Elephas maximus indicus: one gene and its partners. The protein of the gene in region 3 interacts with the protein of the main gene of each other region in a biochemical or structural test. Links are inferred from orthologs where the notes say so. Each region holds a gene or a part of one and is shown on either strand. Other genes may lie near its edges.

Region 1 (7,692 bases), on a different chromosome or scaffold from region 3:
CCTCTCTGAGATGCCGTCTCTTTGCTTATAAAATAGTAATACAAATCTCTTCCTCATGGGGTTGCTTCTGAGCATTTGATGAGGTCAAGCACCTCAAAGCACCAGAGACACATTAGATGGTCAATTAACTTTCACTTCCCCTCCTTTCCCTTGAGGAAGCCCCCTCTAAAGCAGGGAGTAGGTGGAGGCCCAGGGGCAGGGCTGGGCAGGGCTGAGAGAAGGAGAAGTTCCCTGGGTGAAGTGGGGAGGGCTGAGCTGGCCCTGATGCCTGGGGGATTTCACCAAAAGGGAACTGGGACTTGGGGCAGCCACAGGAAACCACTGGCCTGCAAGAGTTCCGGCTTCTCCTCAAGACCCTGGGCTGGTCAGGAGGCAGGCCAGGGCTGGAGGGGCAAGGGGGTGAACAAGTCTAAAGTCTGCAGGCCACCTCAGCCCCCTGCACCCCACCCCTTACCAAGACCTGGATCCCCTGATCGAAGATTCTCCCTACTTCACCCTCAGAGCTCTCACTGAACCCAAGTGCCCTACTGAGCCCCATCCCCCTCACTGAAGCCTCTCATTGGGCCTCCATCCCCCTCACTAAACACCAGCCTTTCTAGAAGCCTCACAACCTCCTGCCCTTGAATGCCTGGGGCCTAAGGAGAAATGCCCCACTCTGACTCTACTGCTCTGGTGGGGCTAGGGGCCAGGTGTGCACTGCAGGGTGTGGGGAGGGATGAGATGGCCTATCTGCCTTGCCAGATTTACCCTCCACTTGGTCCTGAAGGTACCAGCTGAGTTTTCTTCACTTTTTGTGGGTAAAAGTGGTTTCCCATCTGTTGCTGAACACTCACCAGCTTCTAAAACACAGTCTTCAGTCCCACCTTGCTTGGGACGCAGGGCTCACAGGAGATGGGAGTCAAGGATGTCCAGGGGGAGCTGGGGGATTGGAGTCTAGATTCTCTGGCAAGGCCAGACAGGAAGTGCTGCACTAATCCTGGGGAGCTACCCTGCCCTTTCCCACCTGAGGCCAGCCCAGTCTCTTCTTACACAAAGGGCCCTGGCTCCTTCTTCCCCTGCTCTGCTCCCCACTCCAGCCTCCCAGGGTCTGGCCACTTCCTGTCCCACGTTGGCCCCAGGTGGGTGCACAGAACACCTAAGCACCCACATATAAGTTTACATGCTCTTGCTCACTCCCTCAGAGCCCAGATCATACAAACACTCACACACTTTCGCTCGCAGCTTCACACCCACTGGGGAGCAGGAGTGAACCATAAAGTCCATTATTCCCACACCGTCTTCTACCTACTCTCCTTCCTCCACCCACTCCCCCTCCTCCATGTGCTCCCTACCCCACATTCTCTTCTCCAGAGGGCTAGGTGGGACTTGGGAGGAAGGAGGTGAGGACTCATACCTTAGCTCTAGCTACTTTGTCACATCAGGGACAAGATGCCCTGGAGTCCAGGTCCCTACTGCTGGCCCTGTCAGTCATTGCCTCCTGAACCTCTATCTCCCCACCTGTGAAATGGAAAGACAGCCCTGCCCCCCCACCCACCAGCACAGAGAGATGCCAACGGCCTCAGGATACCCAAGGGACTACGCGCCTGAGGGGGTGGCCAACTGGATATGGCGCCACGGGGATGGGGGACATGTCTCAAACCTGCTGACCTCCCCAGTGTGGGCCCTCCAAAGATCCACAGACATTTATTTATTAGACATCAGTGCTGGTCCCTGGAAGCCCTGTCAGTGGGACACACTCAGGCTTTCTGGTTCCTTTCCTTGCTTTTGAGAAGGCAAAGGAGAGGCTCGCTGGGTCAGATAACCCTTAATCCGTCAGCACAAACTATTTTCTGCACCTGATTTTCATGACTGGGGAGAGGGATGGGCAGGGCAAATTTCTCCATATTGTTCAGATGAGGAAAGTGAGGTCCAGAGAAGCCGCATAACTTGCTTAAAGTCACGTGGTTAAATGCACAGTCTGACTAAGAACCCAGGTCTCTGAGACTGCAGATCCTTGCCCCAGGATCCCCGAACACTGAGCCTCATCATCTCACCCCCCTGTCGGGAAGTCAGCGCCCCACTGAGGACCCAGAAGCCGGGAGGGGGACCGAAAAGGCTTCGCCAGCCAGGGGCCCAACGCTCGCCAAGGGCGGGGCTCGGCCTCACCGTCCGGCGTTGCCATGGAGACAACGCCTCCAGGCAATCGCGGTCAAAGGCAGGATTTCCGTCGGGGCGGCCAGCAATTCCTGGATCCCGAGGGGAAAGCGGACCGAGACTGCCACCGGGGGCGGGGGGGAGGAGGCACCCAGAGAGGCTGGTCCCTGCTGAGAGCGTGACTTCCCCAGGAAGCGGGGACTCGCGCCTCTAGCGCCTTCAGGAATCCCCTCGCGGTGCCGAGCCCGCCCACCAGTGCCCGGCGCAAGGGTCTCGGGGGCGCTCCTGGTCGCCTTCCCTCCCCTCCTGGCTGTAAGCTTCACCCCTGGCTTCTGTCGATTCGGAGTATGGGTATCTACTAGGCTCCCGTAGTGATTCTCCTTGAGCCCCTTCGGCAAATTCCCTCACTTGATTCACCCAGTCCCCCAACCTAGTTCCCCTCTCCAGAACCCTCAGATTCTCCCCAAATTCTCACTCTCAAGGTCCCCTCAGCTTCTCTCCCAGACCCTTTTGGGGGTCCCCTTAGTCCCTCTCCCTGACTCAGCTCCCTTCCTAAATTCTATCAATCTCACTCTGCAGGTTCCCTCTCTCTTGCCCACCAGATCTTTTTGGGGATCCCCTTCATTCGCTTTCCCGAAAGCCCTTCAGCTCCGTCCAAAATTTCATCAATCTCACTCTCTAGGTCTCCTCTTTTCGGGGTGGGGCCCCTTTGGCCCCCAGCTCCCTCAGCCCTCCTCCCACGTCCTCCCAGGCCCCTGTCTCCAGCCCCTTGTCCCATCTGAAGCCCCCGCATACCTGGTCCAGGGGAAGCCGGTTCTGGCGACCCCCGGGCAAGCCACCTGGCGCTTCCAGCAGTGCCGAGTGCCGACGTGGGAGAGAACTGGGGTGCCGCCGTCTCTGACCGCCGCCCCCTCTGGGCAGAAGGAGGAAGCCGCTTGAGACTTCTCTTATTGCTGCGGTGGCCGGCGGCGGGGAGGCTGTGGAGGCTAGAACTCACAGTCACGCCCCCACCCCAGCCTGCTGCCCGCATCAGGGAGGGGCCCTCAAATCCCAGACCCGCCGGCCCCCACCGCCGGCCTCCTCCGGGTTACCAGGGTCGGCTCTCCCAGCCCTATCCCGGCACCCCAGTATCCCCAAAGCCCTGAACAGCCTTCCCAAAGGCCTCCTCCAAGGAGCAGGTTCCTCACCCCCAGAAACACCTGCTCTCCTAGAATCAATGGATTTGAGGTAAGGGCTTTTATCTATTCCTGAAGACCACTTCCCACTCTGCCCTTTTTACAGCTGGGAAAGCTGAGGCCCAGATGGCCTTAGCCAAGTTTTCACAGCCAGTTGACCTCAGGCTGTTGTCACCAGATCCGCTTCAGATCCCATCTTGATGCCTTATCTTCCTCAGGAGGCAGTCTCTGGGGCAGGGATGTAGGCAGGCAGGAGAAGCCAGAGACCCTTCCCTTAGGAAACTGCTTTTGAGAGGAACCTGCCCTCAGGCCACACTGGAGGGAGAGAGAGCCCCTTTCTCCCAAGTCTTAAAAAAAAAAAAGGAAGATGATCCTTCTTTTCCAACTGATAGGGATCCCTGATTCCTTCTCAGTCTGGGGTTCAGTCTCACCTCCCACTACTGTTGCTTCTTCAGGCTTAATCCAAAGACCAGGAAAATCACTTCTTCCCTGGAGAGGAAGAGGTGCATGAGGGAGGGCTGCTTGGTGAAGTGTGTGTTGATATGTGGTGGGGAGGCAGGGAGGGTGGAGAGCACAGGGTAACTGTGTGTGTGTGTGTGATTGTAGGAAATTGTCTTAGTTATCTAGCACGGCTACAACAGATTTACCACAAGCAGATGGTTTTAACAAAGAGAAATTTATTCTCTCACCATCTAGGAGACTAGAAGTCTGAATTCAGGGTGCCAGCTCCAGAGGAAGGCTTCAGCTCTTGGGCAAAGGTTCTTGTCATCAATCTTTCCCTGGTGTAGGAGCTTTTCAGCGCAGGGATCCCGGGTCCAAGGGACACAAGCTCCTGGCTCCTCTTGCTTAGTAGCAACGAGGTCCTCATGTCTCTCTGCTCAGCTTCTTTTTTATATCTCAAAAGAGCTTGGTTTAAAACACAATCTAATCTTGTAGATTGAGTCCTGCCTCATTAACATAACTGCTGATAATCCCACCTCGCTAACATCATAGAAGTAGGATCTACAACACATAGGAAAATCACATCAGATGACAAAATGGTGGACAGCCACACAATACTGGGTATCATGGACTAGCCAAGTTGACACACATTTTTTGGGGGGAACACAATTCAGTCCATAACAGCAATGAACATGATGACTGCATTTTTGGAACCAACAACTGGGATGTGTTATGCACACCCAGGTGTTCCTATGCCTGAGCAGGGCCTCTATGTGTGGCAGGGAGGGGGATTCAGATGTGTACCAGTGTCTGTGGGATGGTAGAGAGCCGTGAGATGCAGGTAAGACTGCTTTTCACTTAGGAAAATGGAGGAGGAGCAGGGAGGAAGACACAGGGGAACCAGTGGAGGTACAGGGGCTTCAGAAGGGTGGTCTCACCGTGGCTGGGGCAGCATCATCTCCACCACCAAGTATCTCCTGCCTGGCCTTTGGTCCACACATTCAATTAACAAACTACCATTTCTCATTGCCTGTCACCTGCAACCTTAGGGAACACACAGATGAAAGAGACCTTTTGGGGAACCTGCAATGATTCTGCTCTGCAGTGTCATTATTCTCACATGTTCTTAGTGAAAGACTGTTTAGAGCAGAGCACAGATCAGACAGTTCTAATGGCTTGCTCGACAGGCCTTTATGACTTACAGAATAAACAGGACAGGGATGAGTAGAATGGCACACGTCATCATCAGCCTAGTTTCCCTGAAGTTAGGCTCCTGTCTACAGGATTAGATCACATTCAGCCGTGCCCCAGTTCACATCTCGGGAGGAGAATGCCTCAGTTCCTCTCTCCCAGGGTTAAATACTAATCGGCCAGCCATGTCTGTGTACCAGATAGCAGTTACAGAGAGCAGGTAGGGAGGGGGCAATTAAAGTGTGTGTGGTGGAGGGAAGGGTAATAAAAGTTAAAAGGTGATAATACAAGTGGAGGGCCGCCTGCAGGCAATGAACACCATTTTTTGCCCTGGTTGAGTCCTGGTGGCTCAGTGGTTAAGAGCTTGGCTGCTAACCAAATGGTCAGTAGTTCGAATCCACCAGCCGCTCCTTGGAAACCTCATGGGACAGTTCTACTCTGTCCTATAGGGTCTCAATGAGTCAGAAACGACCAGATAGATGGCAACACGTTGAGGCTATTCTAGATTTACTGGTGACAAAGAACATCCCTTCCTCCTTTGCCCCAGTAAGATAGAGCTCTGGGTTTCTCCAGAGGGCAATCATCTCCCCATAAAGCACACACTTTACTTCACGTCCATTAATAGCTATTATGTCCATTAGCAGCTAGAGAGATGGTGAAAGAGATATAGCATACCTGTGCAGCCAGTAAGCTCACTGTGTCATCCTTCTAGGCCCGGCTCACAGGCACTTCCTCAGGAGGCCCTCCCTGATTGCTGCCCCCATCCCCAGCAGAGCACTCAACACCTTCTGCCTGGTGCACTAGTAGTTCCTGGGGTATGGGTTTGGGGGGATGTGTTTTGCTTAAGGGTCGGGACTGGGTCTGGCTCTTGTCAGTGCCCCTGGTGCCCACACAGGGCTTGGTGCACAGCAGCAGGCCCTCTGAGCATAGGAATGTATGAATCATTTAAAGAACAAAGGAATTCACAGGTCAACAAGTGAATGCCTGATGAAAGAATAAGGAGTTGAAGGCATGAATTAAAGAATGAGCGAATAAATTTAAGAAGCAATGAATAGTCGAATGGAAGAACAAAATTGCTTCTGTTTTTGAATGTATAAATTAGACCACGTTAGTTGCTTGCTTAAAACTCTCAATGGCTGATTTCCTATTTGCTTGGAATAATAAAAATAAAGCATTAGAAAAAATGATAAAATCTGAACTCCTTGCCATGGCCTCCTAGACCCTACATACCTGGCTGCTACCCACCTCTCCATTCTCATATGGGACCATCTTCCTCTTCAGCCCCCTTGGAATCATTTTCAGTTCCTAGAGTACATTGAATTCTTGCCTTAGGGCCTTCTCACGTGCTGTTCCCTCATTTTCTTTGCTCTTCACAGTAGTGGCTCCTTTCTATCCTTCACCTGAAGTGCCACCTCCTCAGTGAAGCCTTCCCTGGCCACCCCATATAAGGAACCTGTTACTTAATGCTGCTGTAACAGAAATATCAGAAATGGGTGGGTTTAAGGAACATAAATTTATTTTCTCATAGTTTAGAAGGCTAGAAGTCTGAATTCAGGGCACCAGCTCTAAGGAAAGGCTCGTTCTCTGTGGGCTCTGGGGAAAGATCCTTGTCTCTTCCAGCATTCCTCTGTTTCTTGGTGAAGGTCACCTGGCATCTGTCCTCCCCCGTTTGTGCTTCCTTGTCTCTGTCCTGCTCTATGCTGTTCCTTATAACTCAGAAGTGATCAGGTTTAAGACACATCCTACACTGATATGGCCTCATTAACATAACAAAGAAAACCCTATTCCCATAGGGGTTAGGACTCCAACACATATTTTGGGGGGACACAATTAAATTCATAAGAGAGCCCTCATTCCCCTATTCTTGGTCTCAGCACGTGGTTTGTCTCCTTCATGGCAGTCTGAAATCATGTATTTTTCAGTTTATTGTTTATTGTCTGATGCCCCTGGGGCTAAGCTGCCTCATCCAGTCTCTGGTCCTCCCTTTCCTGGGCCAGGGCTCTGACAGTGACAGGGCGTTCTATGCCTCTCACTCATCCATTCAGAATAACCTAGTGATTAGGAGCATCGAGTCTGGACCCAGACTGCCTGGTTTGTAGGCCTCTTCCTAGCTTTATGGCCTTGGGCAAGTTATTTCACCTTTTTGTGCCTCAGTTTCCTCATATGTAAAATGGAGATAATAGCAGACCCTACCTCATAGGGGTCCTGGGAGAAACCAGTGAGCTGTTAGGCCAGTGCTTGGCACACATAAGTGGCATGTGAGTGTCTGCTTCCTGGCCAACTGCCTGGAAGAGATCCATATTTATGCCTATTCCCAAGAAAGGTGATCCAACTGAATGTGGAAATTATAGAACAGTATCATTAATATCACATGCAAGCAAAATTTTGCTGAAGATCATTCAAAAATGGCTGCAGCAGTATATCCACAGGGAACTGCCAGAAATTCAGGCTGGATTCAGAAGAGGACGTGGAGCCAGGGATATCATTGCTGATGTCAGATGGATCCTGGTTGAAAGCAGAGAATACCAGAAGGATGTTTACCTGTGTTTTATTGACCATGCAAAGGCATTCGACTGTGTGGATCATAACAAACTGTGGATAACACTGCGAAGAATGGGAATTCCAGAACACTTAATTATGCTCATGAGGAATCTTTACATAGATCAAGAGGCAGTTGTTCGGACAGAACAAGGGGATACTGAGTGGTTTAAAGTCAGGAAGGATGTGCATCAGGGTTGTATTCTTTCACCAT
Region 2 (7,554 bases), on a different chromosome or scaffold from region 3:
CCAAGATTCAGAGAAGGAACCGGTCTACAGGACAAATTACCCACATGAACAACACCCTCCTCTACCCTGAGACCAGAAAACTAGATGGTGTCTGGCTACCAGTACCATATGTTCTGATCAGGACCACAGTAGATGGATCCTGATAGAAAGAGAGAAAAATGTAGAACAGAACTTCAAATTCTCAAATAAAAATCCAGACTTACTAAACTCACTGTTCATTTCTCCATTAGGTTGGACCACTTAAATGAACAATTATAATCCAATCTAAGAAAGAACTGGTTGAGTTAGGACTGAGACAAAAAGGCAATAAGAGAATTTGGAGATGGAGGCAACTATCAAGCCTCTTTCCTCTGGGGTTTTTTTTCCCCCAAAGCAATTCTCAAGGCATAAGCATATGGTACCGGGTAATTTTACAATTTCCAGTGACCAGGGGCCAGTTTCACTCCTTTCTTATCAGACTGTATCAGACTAGAATGCCCAATTTACAACCTCAATCCAACCAAGGCCCCTGCACTTTGCACATACAGACTGGACAAGAAAAGAGCATTTTAGGGGCTCTGAAACAAGTGACACTGCCATCAGCAGACATTTACCAAGGATCCATAGGGGATCCAGCACCAGGTGAAGGTTAGCACCCCTGCCAAGTCTGTGACCAAGTCTCCCTACCCTGGGCAATAAGGTAATTCTCCCTGGAGGTGGGAATCCCAGGAGGGGTGGAGTCAGGTGGAGTGGGGTAGAAGCCAAAGAACTAGAAGAGCTGGGGTGGAGAGGAGAGGCACCAACTCGGTCAGCCTGTTGGTTGGAGACTCAAAGTGTGTGTGTGTGTGTGTGTGTGTGTGTGTGTGTATACTCTTAGGGTGTGTGGGGGGGGGTGTGGGTGTGGGTCAGGGGGGCGGAGGTGAGTTAAGCAGGGCAAGGAGACCAGCAATTCTTCTCCAAGCATAAAAGTGGGCCACATACTGCCCACAACCTCTCCAACCACCCTGTCAAAGGTCAACTTAAGGGAGCACAGGTAGCCATTCTCTGATCACCACAGTCTGATAAAACATAGCCCTTGTCCTAGAGGAACTAGCTGCTGAGGAAACATGACGATTTTCTAGATACAGTATAATTAGGTAAACAGATTGAAAAGGCTAGACTATACATAATATTGTCTCCTATCTGGGACCAAAAAACCAAAACACACTTCCTTCGAGTCAATTCCGACTCATACCTACCCTACAGAACAGAGTAGAACTGCCCCCACAGGGCTTCTAAGGAGCACCCGGTAGATTCCAACTGCCGACCTTTTGATTAGTAGCTGTAGCTCTTAACCAGCTCTTAACCACTACATCATCAGGGATCCCTCCTATTTGGAAAGATTTGAAAATTGTAGTATAAGGGCTTATGTGGGGCAAAGGTATTGTCAACTAAAGCATAATGCTAATTTGCATGTGTTTACAAAACTTGCCCTATACAGTTCCACAAACGGGAAGAATCAAGATTATTAACATAAGATTAGGTTAATTTGAGTATAGGGAAAGCACAAGATTCTTTAGCACTGAAATGTAACTAAACTGAAAAAATACTTTCAAGTAAATAAGGAGAAGGTAACACATATATTCTTTTTCCCCCATATGAACCACGGCATTCCATATGATTTTTTGTGAGCCAAGGAGCTACCACTGTCACAAACTAGCCTGTTAAACCCCAGTACTGTTTTGGGAAACCCGCTGTTTTATATTGTTTTCTCCCCAGTTCTTTACGGGAGAATCTTCTAAGACGGAGTAAATTCTCAGAATTTCTTGAGGAAAACGGGCACTCACTGGAAAAACACACGGCATGTGCACAAAATGCTTAAATATGCTGGGCAACGTTCAAATCCACTTAACCACCAGCCTTTCTGTTGTACCAAGTCACCACTGAAATCAACCTTTCTAATCAAACATTATAGTTTTCTGAAGAATAGCACTAGATCAGGTTGTTTCCAAACCTGGTACCCAGCAACGTATTATTCTTCCATAAAAAAAAAAAAAAATAGGGGGTAAATAACTCAGAAGGAAATTTAGGATAGGCGGGAACGCGCGCACACTAGGGTCAAGGCCCTAGTTTTTTCAATTCATGGATGCGCTAAGCTCAGTTTTTCAAGATTCAAAAACAAGTGCCCAGAAAAAAAGACGCGCTTGGTGGGGTGAGGCACTCTGACACGTGCAACTGTGGAACTTCTTCGATTTTGCTGGCTTTCAGTGAAGACCAAGCTCGCATCCAAGTTGAGAAGAGGGATCAACTCTGCTGCACAGCCGGTAAGTGAACCCAACGCTGAACATGCTACCGAGACGGCCTTGGCCCTGGGACCCGAGGGGAAAAGGGGCGGGAGCTCTTAGGGAGCCGAGCGCCCGTGCCTGGGAGGTGGAGAGGCGGCAGCTGCCGGGAAGGCGCGGCCACGCAGGGGCGCGCACCTGTTCTTTCTTCCTGAACCAAGGGACGACAGGGTCCCTCACCTGACACGGCACGTCCGCGCTCGCTGGGGCCCAAACCAAAAAAAACAAACCCGTTGCCGTCCAGTCTATTCCTTTCACAGCAACCCTATAGGACTGGGCAGAACTGCCCCATAGGGTTTCCAAGGCTGTAAACTTTACGGAAACAGATTGCCACGTCTTTCTCCCGCAGAGCGGCTGGTGAGTTCCAACCGTGGATCTTTCGGTTAGCGGCGGAGTGCTAAACCACTGCGCTAACAGGGCTCCTTCACCGGGGCCAGGAAGGGAGAAAATCCTCCTCCGTTCCAAGAGGGTCAGTCTTGCGGCATGTGAAAGTGACCTCTCGCCGAGGGCGTCCCCATCCTGACCCTTCCCCACCCGGAGTCCTGCAGAACCCTACCCCCCGCCTAAGGCCGCCCTGGCTGGCGCAAGGAACCCTTACCTGTCTGGAGCGCGCCAGCTGCACCCAGCTCCGCAGGGTATTAAGTCCAGCCAGAGCCGCCGGGTCGGAGCGTCCGGAGCCGGGAGCCCGCCGGCCCCGCCCCCATAGCTCCGCCCCTAAAAATCACCCCGCCCCCAAAGCCGGTCTAGCCCCGCCTCACTGCGGCCCTCGGCGCCGGGCTTCTGAGGGCCAGCGGCGGTTTCGAGGCTCCCCCGCCCAGTCAGGCAGGTCGGACGCCGGGTCTCAGCTACCGCCTTCCGGTCAAGGCGTCGCGGAAGTCAGCGGGTGCGTCTCTTTTGTTCCACCGCGCGGCGCTGGACCTCCCTGGTTCTGAGCTTCATATTCTAGGAGAACCAATGCGCGAGGGTTCGGGCTTCCCCGACCCGGGAGAACCCCGAGCAATGCCACCTGTAGGTGGCTGGAGGCCCTGTTGGAATTAGGAACCGCACCTTCCTTTCCGTAAAGCAGTGGCAGGCCGGACCGGTGCAGTGGAGCGAAGCAACGATTTTACCAAAAGAATAAGTCATTTTACTTTCAAACCTGGGCAACGGAGCGTATCTGATCCGCTTATAGGGTCACATGTGCTTGTTATTAATGTATTACTTTATTCACTCATTGAAGAGTAGTAACCAACATTTATATGTATAAAACTTACTATGTGCCAGGCGCTTGTAAGTACTTTACATATATTAACTCAGCAATTCTCTACAGTAGATATTGTTAGAATCCCTGTTTTTGCATACGGCGAAACTGAGACAGAAGTTAAATAACTTGCCTAAGGTAAGGTACCAAAAAGAAAAAAAACAACCACAAACCAAACCCGTTGCTGTCAAGTTGATTCCGACTCATAGTGACCCTACTGGACAGAGTAGAACTGCCCCACAGGGTTTCCAAGGAGGGCCTAGTGGATTTGAACTGCCCACCTTTTGGTTAACAGCGGAACTCTTAACCACTACAACACCAAAGTTTCCTAGATAAAGTACCAAACCAAACCAAACCCACTGCCATTCAGTCAATTCCGACTCATAGCGACCCTATAGGACAGGGTAGAACTGCCCCATTGAGGTTCCAAGGAGCATCTGGCAGATTCGAACTGCTGACCTCTTGGAAGCAGCGATAGCACTTAACCACTACGCCACCAGGATTTCCAGATAAAGTACCAGGGCGGTGCAAATGGTTTGTGCTCATCTACTAACTGAGCGTGGCACAGGGGTTGAGAGCTCAGGCTGCTAACCAAAAGGTCGGCAGTTTGCTCCTTGGAAACCCTGTGCAATAGGTTTACTCTGTCCCATAGGGTCTCTATGAGTCAGAATCAACTCTGTGGCAATGGGTTTTTTTTTTTTTTTTTTATGGTTCACTAACTGAAAGGTTGGTGATTTGAGCCCCCCTAGTGGCTTTTTTAGTGGCACCATAAAGGAGCCCTGGTAGCACAGTGGTTAGGAGCTAGGCTGCTAGGGTCCAACACACCAGCCACTCCTTGGGAGAAAGATGTGACAGTCAAGCTTTGTAAAGATTACAGCCTTGGAAATTCTATGGGGTAGTTCTACGCTGTTCTACAGGGTTGCTGTGAGTCCAAATCCACTTCAGGGCAACAGGTTAGTGACCCCATAGAAGAAAAGCCTTGGTGATCTGCTTCCATAAAGATTGCAGCCAAGAAAACCCTATGGGGCAGGTCTGCTCTGTAACACACAAGTTTGCCGTGAGTTGGAATAGACTCTAGGGCATCAGATTTGTTTGGGGTTTGGGTTTTTGTTTTTGTTTTTTAGGAGAAGGAGTATTTAAGGGAGCCCAACTAGGAAATTGAGAAGCTGGGATTCAAATCCAGGTAGTCCTCTGCTGGAGTCTACACACTTAGCCATTGCTACCCTGACTTCTCAAAAATGTGAGTGTCCACCATGTACCAAGAGCTGTTACAGGCCTGAGGAATACAAAACAAGGGTCAGCCCTCAAGGAGCTTTTATTCCAGTGTGAGGAGAAAGACAATAAATAATCAACAAGCAAGCAAAAAATGATACCGTTTCACATGGGAGAAATGTCTTGACTAAAATGAAGCAGGGTGATGGGATTGAAAGTGACAGGGAGATGATGGCAGAGGCTTCTCTGAGGAGGTGACAGTGCAGCTGAGACCTGAATATTAGGACAGGCAATCAAACCAGAGATGAAGCTAAGAGAATGGTTAAATGCAAATAATAATTACCATACCTCGTGTGTTTGGGTCTTAACTGTACTTACTCACTACTTTGTGCCTTTCTATACTATCTCTTCTTTGTACAATAACCCTGTGAAGAAATCTAATGAGATTCCATTTTACAAAAGAAAAAATTGAGAATCAGAGAGGTTGAATGACTTTCTCAAAGCCATACAATTAGTTAGGAAAAAAGGGGATGGGAAGAGATCTAAACCAAGATCCTCTGATTCCAAACCCTCTTTCAGTCCGTTAAGATCTTCAGTATAATGTACTCAGAATGAACCTAGTAAAAACTTCTCTTTTGTGATCTGTCTCGCCCTTGCTCTGGACTCTTCTGCCTCATATCCCATTCAAATACTTGTTTCAACTGATGAACAAGGGTAAGGATTCTTAAGGGGAGGGCAGGAGGATGATGAGCCACCTGAAATTGTATGCAAAAAATAGTATGTGTGTGTGTGTGTGCGCGTATATGTGTATAGAGAGAATCACAGTTACATAACTGTTGTTTTTGTTGTTGTTGGATGCCATTGAGTCCATTCTGACTCATAGCAACCCCATGTACCACAGAATGAAACACTGCCCAGTCCCGCACCACAACCACAATCCTTGTTATGCTTGAGCCCATCGTTGCAGCCACTGGGTCAATCCATCTCATTAAGGGTCTTCCTCTTTTTCATCGACCCCGTACTTTATCAAGCATAATGTCTTTCTCCTGACAAGTCCAAAATATGTAAGATGCAGTCTCGCAGTCCTTGCTTCTAAGGAACTTTCTGATTGTACTTCTTCCAAGACAGATTTGTTCATCATTTTGGCAGTACATGGTATCTTCAATATTCTTTGCCAACACCACAATTTGAAGACGTCAATTCTTCTTCTGTCTTCCTTATTCATTCTCCAGCTTTCCCATGCTATGATGTGATTGAAAACATCATGGCTTCAGTCAGGCACACCGTAGTCTTCAAGGTGACATCTTAGCTTTTCAACACTTTAAATAGGTCTTTTGCAGCAGATTTTCCCAATGTATTGCGTCTTTTGATTTCTTCACTGCTGCTTCAATGGGTGTTGATTGTGGACCCAAGTAAAATGAAATCCTTGACAACCTCAATCTTTTCTCCATTTATCATGATGTTGCTTATTGGTCGCGTTGTGAGGATTTTTGTTTTCTTTATGTTGAGGTGCAATCCATACTGAAGGCTGTGGTCTTTGATCTTTATCAGTAAGTGCTTCAAGTCCACTTCACTTTCAGCAAGCAAGGTTGTGTCATCAGCATATTGCAGGTTGTTAATGAGTCTTCCTCCAATCCTGATGCCCCATTCTTCTTCATATAGTCCAGCTTCTTGGATTATTAGGTCAGAATACAGATTGAATAGGTATGGTGAAAGGATACGCAACCCTGACACACGCCTTTCCTGACTTTAAACCACACAGTATCCCCTTGTTCTGTCTGAAGAACTGCCTCTTGATCTATGTACAGGTTGCTCATGAGCACAATTAAATGTTCTGGAATTCCCATTCTTAGAAATATTATCCATAATTTGTTACGATCCACACAGTCAAATGCCTCTGCATAGTCAATAAAACACAAGGAAACATCTTTCTGGTATTCTTTGCTTTCAGCAATGATATCCCTGGTTCCACGTCCTCTTCTGAATTTCTGGCAAGTCCCTGTCAATATACAGCTGCAGCTACTTTTGAATGATCTTCAGCTAAATTTTCTTGCGTGTTACGTCAGTGATATTGTTCAATAATTTCCGCGTTTGGTTGGATCACCTTTCTTGGGAATAGGCATAAATATGGATCTCTTCCAGTGGGTTGGCCAGGAAGCTGTCTTCCAAATTTCTTGGCATAGACAAGTGAGCATTTCCAGCACTGCATCCATTTGTTGAAACTTCTCAATTGATATTCTCTCAATTCCTGGAGCCTTGTTTTTTGCCAATGCCTTCAGTGCAGCTTGGACTTCTTCCTTCAGTACCATTGGTTCCTGATCTTATGCTACCTCTTGAAATGGTTGAATGTTGACCAATTCTTTTTGGTATAATAACTCTGTGTATTCCTTCCATCTTCTTTTGATGCTTCCTGCGTCGTTTAGTATTTTCCCCATAGAATCTTTCACTATTGCAAGTTGAGACTTGAATTTTTCCTTCATCTCTTTTGGCTTGAGAAATGTGGAGCACGTTCTTCCTTTTTGGGTTTCTGTCTCCAGCTCTTTGCACATGTCATTATAATACTTTACTTTGTCTTCTCCAGCCACCGTTTGAAATCTTCTATTCAATTCTTTTACTTCATCACTTCTTCCTTTTAGTTTAGCTACTTGAAGTTCAAGAGCAAGTTTCAGAGTCTCTTCTGACATCCATTTTGGTCTTTTCATTCTTTCCTGTATTTTTAAGGACCTCTTGCTTTCTTCATGTATGATGTCCTTGATGTCATTCCACAACTCCCTTGGTCTTTGGTCATTAGCGTTCCCACCA
Region 3 (7,076 bases):
TAATGAGAATAAAATTTTTTTTAAAATATATCTCTGGCAGGGCAATGGAGGGGAGGGGTTAGAACCAGGCACAGTTCAGCATTTCCCTAGAGTCTCCATACAGGCCCCTCAAACTGCACCTGTTCTCATCGTACACCCCTTTCTATAGATGTAGTCCAGCAGTTGTCCATTCCTTTGGGAGGTGGAGGGTTTAGGGGTGCTGGCCCTCCCCAGATCCCATCCCTCAGTTCCTGCCATCTGTTCTACTTCCTAGGACTTGTTGGAATTGGTCATCCTTCCCTCAACAACCCTAATCCCTCTGAGACCCTGGTCTCACACAGGAGCCCCCTGTGCCCTGCTTCCCTCTAGTTCTCACAGGTTTTGTTCATCCCCAGTGCCATCTCCCCATAGTCTTCCTATTAGCTCTGCCAGCCAGGCCTTACTCTCATATGGAGTCCTCTGACTGGACTCCAGTCCTACTGGTCTCTGCTCTGGAGAGCCCACAGTCCCAGCTCCCCGAGGCCCCATTCTTCTGGACCTGACTATACAAGGCAGTGCCTGAGTTGTGGCCTTTGCTGCCACTGCCAGTTTCAGTACTAGGTTCAAGGAAGACCAGGCCTTGGGGCTTGGGAGCTAGGAGAGGCTTTGCGCTCCGAGGGGGGGGCACAGCATAGTCATCAGTGGCTGGGTTGTAGGGGAGCTCGTAGCCCTCCTCCTTCACCCGAGCCTGGCACCACCATGCATCCTTGGGCTCTTGAGGCAGGTCATAAAGGCCTCGGGAAGGGGCTGGGGCCAGGCCCTCAGGTTCGTCATAGATGGGGTCTTCTTTGGGGTCCTTCAGGTTGGCCTTCTGCAACTTCTGCTGTACATGCTCATACAAGTCCCAGTAGAGAGGTTTCTTCAACTGCGCCCCGTCTCCTGCCCGAGCACGGGTGCTGTCCAGGGGGTCTGAATATAGGGAGTCCTGGGAAGGGCCTGGAGGGATGCGCAGGGAGTCTAGCGGTTCAGCATACAGGGATGGGGGGCTGCACAGGAGCTCCTGAGGGCCACAAGGAGGAGCCAGCTTCCCTTCTGCCACTTCTTCATGGGAGTCAGTTCTCAGGACATCATGCCCCTGACCAGCCTTTGCCTGGGCCTTCTGCTGACGGATGGCTGTCTCAACTGCCTGAAAGATGTCATTTCCCTGTGCCGTCTGGAAGGTGAAGGTTCCGGGGCCAGACGGGCAACGGCGGCCGGCCTCAAAAGAGAACATAACCTGAAGGTGGTATAGAGGGAAGCATCAGAGGAGGTGAGTCACAGGGCTGAACTAGGTAGGGAATCTGAAGATACCATCTGGGGAGCGGGGGTCACAGGGTAGGCCAAGAAGGGGGGTCCCAGAGAGCAGAGCTTCCCACCTTCCTGTCCTGTCCCACCCCACCAACAACTGCCCAACCCAGCAAGCCCTCTCTGACAGCCGTCCCTGACGGTCCTCACCCCCCACCTTGTCACGGCCATAACGACGCAACAGAGTGTAGGGCCAGTAAAGGAGGGGCTCCAGTTTCTGACTCTGGGTGCCCATGGCCAGAAGAGTCAGCCTCTCAGCCTCTGTCCTCAGCATGTAGGAGCCATGCAGGCCACAGCGTTCAGCAGCCTCAGTCCTCTGCACGGTCACCCAGAACTGAGATCCTGAAAGGAACACTAGATTAGATGCTTAAAAGAGTTACTGGGGACTAGGGTGAAGGAATGAGGACCCGGAAGGAGTCAGAAGCAGAGTGTCCTGGCACTCACTTGGAAGCCAAATCTTCCCTTCCCTATGGGTCCATGAACCCTCTAATCACTCCCTTCCCAAGGGCACTCCTCCTCCCCACTCCATCCCTGCCCGGACTTCTTGGGGTTTCTACCTTCCCAAGTGGGGCTATAAAGCGAGTTCTCCAGCATCTCCAAGGCAGAAAGTTTGGGTGGGTTTTCGGCAGGCGCCTGAGCCCAGCTGCCTTTCTGTCGTAAAGAGAGAGGGAGTGTAGAGGACCCCATAATCTCCCAGCGTGGCTCCCAGGGTCTGAGCCAGCCGGATGCATCCCCGCTTCGCCCCAGCCCCTCGATCGCACTCCCCGACCTCCTCACCGGAAAGGCATTTCGGCACAGCGTCTGCACCCAGGCGGCACTGGACCGCGCGTCCGCGGCCAACAGGTGGGAGCGCTGCGCTGTGTCCAGGCGGAAGGCTGCGGCGCCGGGCTCAGGGGGGCTCTCCACGGCCACGGGGACCACGCTGACACACTCTGCCAGGCGGATCACCTTGCAATCCAGGCGGCGCGAGCCCCCGCGGCCACCCCCTGAGCCCGACCCCTTGTGGTCAAAGAACTCGAGCCGGGCCACGCCGTTGGGGCTGGCAGGGTAGAGCACAGCCCAGGTCTTCCTCCACCTCTAAGGAGAGAGACACGATGGGGAAGGTGCGGGGCGAGCGCGGGCTGCCCGGGCCCCTACCGCGGCGGCTGAACGGGCTCAGACTGATTTGGCGTCTCAGGCTGATTTGGCGTCTGGGGCTTCCCGACCCGGGGCAAAGTCTCCCAAGGACGACGCCGCTCCGTCTCCCCAAGAACAAGGAGGACGTACCCCGACGCTTCTCTGGAGTGTGCAGAGCGACTTCGCGGGACCATCACCGGGCTCTCCAGCTCCCGGCGCCGCGCTCCAACCCGCGCCCGCTCCCTCCTGCTTTCTGGGCCCTTCCGCCCACCCCCTGCTCTGAAGGGGATCGGCAGCCCCTGGACCCCACTACCTTGGTCCCGAAGCGCTGACTCTGTAAAAAGAGCGGCCCTTCCATCTCAGCCCCGTCCATGGCCCCCGGCGGTCCCTTCGGCGCTTCCTGGCACTGCGGGCGGGAGGCGGGACGGGGCGGGTCGCAGGCGGGGCCGGACTCGTCAGAGGCGTTCCCGCCCTTCCCTGCCCCCGCGGGCCGCGACAGGGGGGAGGGAGAGGTGCAAGAAAGACCGGGGTCCCCAGATAAGCTGGGCGGCCGCACCACCTCCGGGCCCTTACCACGGCCGTGGGGCGCGCACAAGTGGCTCCGCAGAGAGAAAACTTCGGGTTTCGGCCAGACAGCCCCGGCGCCTGGGAAGGGGGCTGCGTGTGACGTCTTATGCCCTGCGTGACATCAGAGTGAAGGCCGTGACATCACCCCGAGAGCGCCTACGGGCACCCTGGGGCCCCAGAGGGGCCACGTGGGCCCTCATGGCCTCAGTTCCCCTCGCCCGGCCCGCCCCCAGCCCGGCCGGAGTCGCAGTGTTTACCCTCCGCGAGCCGGGGGCGTGGGGGAAGGGCTGGGGGCTGGAAGGCTTCCCGGAACCCCGAGCCCAGCGGCCTCCCGCCGCCACGGGGGCTGCCGCCCGGGCCTGTAGGCGGCCCCGCGGCCTCTTGCGTGTCCAGCTACCCGACCGCAGCTGTCCGGCCTCCAACCTGCGGGAAAAGAAAGCCTCATTGAGCGGGCCGGGAGGGCGTGGGGGGGAGGGGGCGCGGCTGCGGCCAGCTCCACCCGGGAGGGGAGGACCGAGAAGAGAAAAGGAGGGAACTGGCTAGGGAGGAATCCAGGGAGAAGGCGGAATGTGGGAGGGCTCAAGGGGATGTAGGAGGGACGAATGGGGGGGGGGGGTCCGGTCTCCCCTGTCCGAACACTTTTTTTTTTATCCTAGGACTGATCTCCGGGACCAAGACTCTTCAACCAGCCCCTAGATCCCTGCTCAGCCAAAGGTAGGGGAGTCAGGCTAGCCTGCCAGAGGAGGAACAGGGTTATTAGGGATGGAGAGGACGGTGGAGGGACCAGGGAAAAAGGATGGAGTCGAGGGGAAGCCAACCAACTGAGGGTTTTATTATTGTCAAAAAGGAGTGAGACACTAGAAGAGTGGAGAAATGGGGAGGCAGGGGTCGTGTAGGGTGTCCCAGATGGGGCAGTCGGGAGGACCTTGAGGCTAGGGGCTTGTCTGCGAGGCCTCAGCCCGGTGCCCCCAAGCCAAAATATTCTCAGAACAAAGATGTCTTGTTGGGTTGTTTATCTGGGTTGGGGGAAGCATGTTTCAGTGGGCCCCTCACTGTGGAGGGGCTGTTGTGAGCCCCAGACCAAGAGAGGGCCTTGGCTTCCTATCAGATCAGAGCATTGCCTCCCGTTGCTCGGTGACAGCAAAGGCGGCTCCAAGAACCCCACCCCATCCCCCTGCCCAGCTTGAGGCCCGGCCCTCCTGGGCCTCTTGACCCTGCCCTGCATCTGAGAGCCTGCGTGGTGGGAAAGGTGTACAGCGGGTACTCCTTGTGGTCTAGTGTCTGCCTTCCTTGCCTCTGGCATCTGGTACTCTGGGCTCCACTCCTGTTGGAGGAACCAGAGATCTGAGGGTCTTCTGGGTCCTCCTTGCCTGCCTCTCAGCGCAATCAGTGGAGCTGTCAGTCCCTCTGACTGGCTGAATGGAGTCATCAGGGTCCCTCCCACATCTGCTCCTTGACTCCTGTCCATCCCTCTCCCCCTCACCTGTTGCCTGCAGCTTTCTCTCTGGCACCTTAATTCTGTGTGCCTAGCATTCTCCCTGTCACCTTCTAACTGTCTTCACTGTGTCTGTCTCTCCTGCAGTCTCTTTCCATTGGTCTCCCTTTCACTCCCACACTCTCCCTTCCTCTCACATCCTGTCTGTCTGGGTCTTCCTCTCTGTGTGTTCTTGCGCAGTCTCCATCTCTTTATCTCTTTGTTTTGACCATTCTCTGACTCTTGGTCTCTAATTACTGTCTTTCAGTCTCTGGGTCTCTCGGGCTGGGGAGTAGGGGTAATGGAGATGATGATGGCAGAACTAGGGAAGGATGTTGTGGGACATAACAGCTGATGGTGAGGGTTTCAATATTTACAAAACGGTGGGGAGAGCATATACCTCTCCTCATCATCCCCCTCTTTCTCCTCCTCTCCCCAGTGTGGGCCTGGGTCTTTCATCCCTTACCTGTTTGACTTTGTGTCTCTGCCCTTGTTTAATATATTTCTGTCTTATTTAGTGTCCTTCTCTCTCACTGTCTCTCTATCTCTCTCTGGTATGTCTCGGTGTCTTTCTTTCGTGATATCTCACTTGGACTCTGGTCTTAACCTCAGCTTCTCTCTCACATTCCTCTCCCTGGGGCACCCAGGCCTTCCCTGCCATGCAACCTGTCAGTGTCTGGAAACAGAGTACGTGGGGGCTGCTGCTGTGCCTGCTGTGTGGCTCCTGTCTGGGGTCTCCATCCCCAGACGGAAACCAGGGGCTGCGGTTCCGGCTGGCTGGCTTCCCCAGGAAGCCCTACGAGGGTCGTGTGGAGATACAGCGTGCTGGCGAATGGGGCACCATCTGTGATGACGACTTCACACTGCAGGCTGCCCACGTCCTCTGCCGGGAGCTGGGCTTCACAGAGGCTACAGGCTGGACCCACAGTGCCAAATACGGTGCTGGAACAGGTGAGCAATGCCCCCCAGGAAGAGCCAGGTACCCTGACTGCCTAAATGACACCTAAGTGCAGGGAGAGGAGCACCAGAATGACACAACCACAGGGACACAGGACACCAAGAAGAGCTGGAGTCAAGAAAACCCATGAGTGACACCCAGCCAACACAGTCACTCACCAGAGCTGTGCGACCTTAGGCTGATCAGTTGCTTTGTCTGAGTCTCACATGCCCCATGTGTAAAAATGACTAGATGATCTATAAGTTCCTTTGTTTTGCAAAAGGGTGTGATTCTACAAAGCCATGCACAAGGGCAATTCAAGTACAGCTTGCTCCATGGGAGGCTGAGAGCAGGTAAATGATGTCTGAGTGTCCCAAAGCCAGAAGGGATCCCAGATACTGCTGCTGATAAAATCCAGTTACAGGCGACAGCTGAAACGCACAAACTGGAACTGAGTAAGGACAAGTAAAATGCCTAGGACAAGTCTAAGTGTGGTTGGTAGGGGATTAAGAGCAATTCTGACTGAGGCCTGGGAGTGCTTGCACTGTCTGAGACCACAGTAGGACTGATGGACAGAGTTGGTGCAACCTGACCCAATCCCCCAATCCCCACTGGCTAGACCACTTCTGAAATAAAGTGTCTACTCATAGATGTCAGATTTTTCAGAGACGCTAGAAAACGGAAACACTGTCAGAGAAGAACTACCCAGATGTCAGAGATTCAAAAGCCAAGTTATAAGGAAGCATAGCTGGAGAAACCAGCCATCTTTAATCTGGAAAGAAAAAGCCTTAGATGGCAATTACATGATGGTCATCTTTAAATATAGTAGGGTCAGTCATGTGACTGAAGACTTTTTCTGGATGGCATCAAAGGACTGAATCAGACTGACAGAGGAAAGTCTTATAGAATCACAAGGACTTTCTGATGGTTACAGTGACCTGGTGGAGGTAGATGTCCCAGTAGAAGCTGGGTAAGCCCTGTTACGGAATGCATGAGGGGGTCCCTGCACATTGGCTGGGACACAAGGCCTGTGAGGCTCCACCCAATTCAGAGAAGAAGTTAATGATATTCAGTGTGGTTCAGGCAGGGAGAACACCAAGTGGCATCACGGCAACACAGGCAGGGCAGCCACATGAGAAAATGTGTGAGTGAGGTGAAAGGATCTTTGGTTTCCAGGTCTCACAGACTGGGCCCAAACTCCTAAGCCTCCTCACGGCTGTGTGGCTGTGTGGTCTTATGCAGGTTACTCAACTTCTCTGAAGCCCAGTTTGTTTATATAAAACAGTGATAATATCTTCCAGGCAGCACTGTTCCAAGATGACAACATAGGTACAGACCCTGGCAAAGTGCTTGGCACAATTGTAGCTATCATTGAATGTGTAAGAACTGATCAGAACGTCCGTATCGATTCCTGTTTATTTGCCCTACTAAATTCTTGGGGCTCCCTCCATCAATCCCCCCTTCTCCCTCCACAGACTCCTGTTCCTTCCCCACCCATTATCTTCCCAGAAAAGTGAACTCATCATGGCCAGATGTGAAGCCCCAATGCTCATCCCTCCCACCAGCCCCATCACACCCCATTCTACCTCTCCAAGCCTTTCTGTCCCTCCATCTCTGCCTCCACAGGCCGCATCTGGCTGGACAACCTGAGCTGCAGTGGGACTGAGAAGAGTGTGACTG

The links.
Region 1: the proteins of DOK1 (region 3) and FGR form a complex in vitro, tested with the Homo sapiens proteins (2 studies listed by BioGRID, with this or other methods). The link is inferred for Elephas maximus indicus from reciprocal best matches to the Homo sapiens genes DOK1 and FGR.
Region 2: of the proteins of DOK1 (region 3) and TEC, one has a biochemical effect on the other in vitro, tested with the Homo sapiens proteins (2 studies listed by BioGRID, with this or other methods). The link is inferred for Elephas maximus indicus from reciprocal best matches to the Homo sapiens genes DOK1 and TEC.

What each region holds. Positions count from the first base shown.
Region 1 is NC_064821.1:67,976,628-67,984,319, forward strand, and holds the start of FGR (tyrosine-protein kinase Fgr), read right to left. Parts: upstream 3,059-7,692; 5' UTR 3,003-3,058; coding exon of another isoform or gene 2,854-3,002; intron 2,312-2,853; coding exon of another isoform or gene 2,160-2,311; intron 1-2,159. Other genes in the region: uncharacterized protein LOC126071286, read left to right, coding at 2,160-2,311, 2,854-3,002. UniProt on the Homo sapiens protein: Non-receptor tyrosine-protein kinase that transmits signals from cell surface receptors devoid of kinase activity and contributes to the regulation of immune responses, including neutrophil, monocyte, macrophage and mast cell functions, cytoskeleton remodeling in response to extracellular stimuli, phagocytosis, cell adhesion and migration.
Region 2 is NC_064823.1:110,948,739-110,956,292, reverse strand, and holds the start of TEC (tyrosine-protein kinase Tec), read right to left. Parts: upstream 3,002-7,554; 5' UTR 2,899-3,001; intron 1-2,898.
Region 3 is NC_064835.1:61,284,086-61,291,161, forward strand, and holds the start of DOK1 (docking protein 1), read right to left. Parts: upstream 3,075-7,076; 5' UTR 2,992-3,074; intron 2,825-2,991; 5' UTR 2,792-2,824; coding exon 2,732-2,791; intron 2,380-2,731; coding exon 2,080-2,379; intron 1,954-2,079; coding exon 1,860-1,953; intron 1,645-1,859; coding exon 1,460-1,644; coding exon of another isoform or gene 1,453-1,459; intron 1,235-1,452; coding exon 425-1,234; 3' UTR 1-424. Other genes in the region: LOXL3 (lysyl oxidase homolog 3), read left to right, coding at 5,119-5,410, 7,023-7,076. UniProt on the Homo sapiens protein: DOK proteins are enzymatically inert adaptor or scaffolding proteins. They provide a docking platform for the assembly of multimolecular signaling complexes. DOK1 appears to be a negative regulator of the insulin signaling pathway.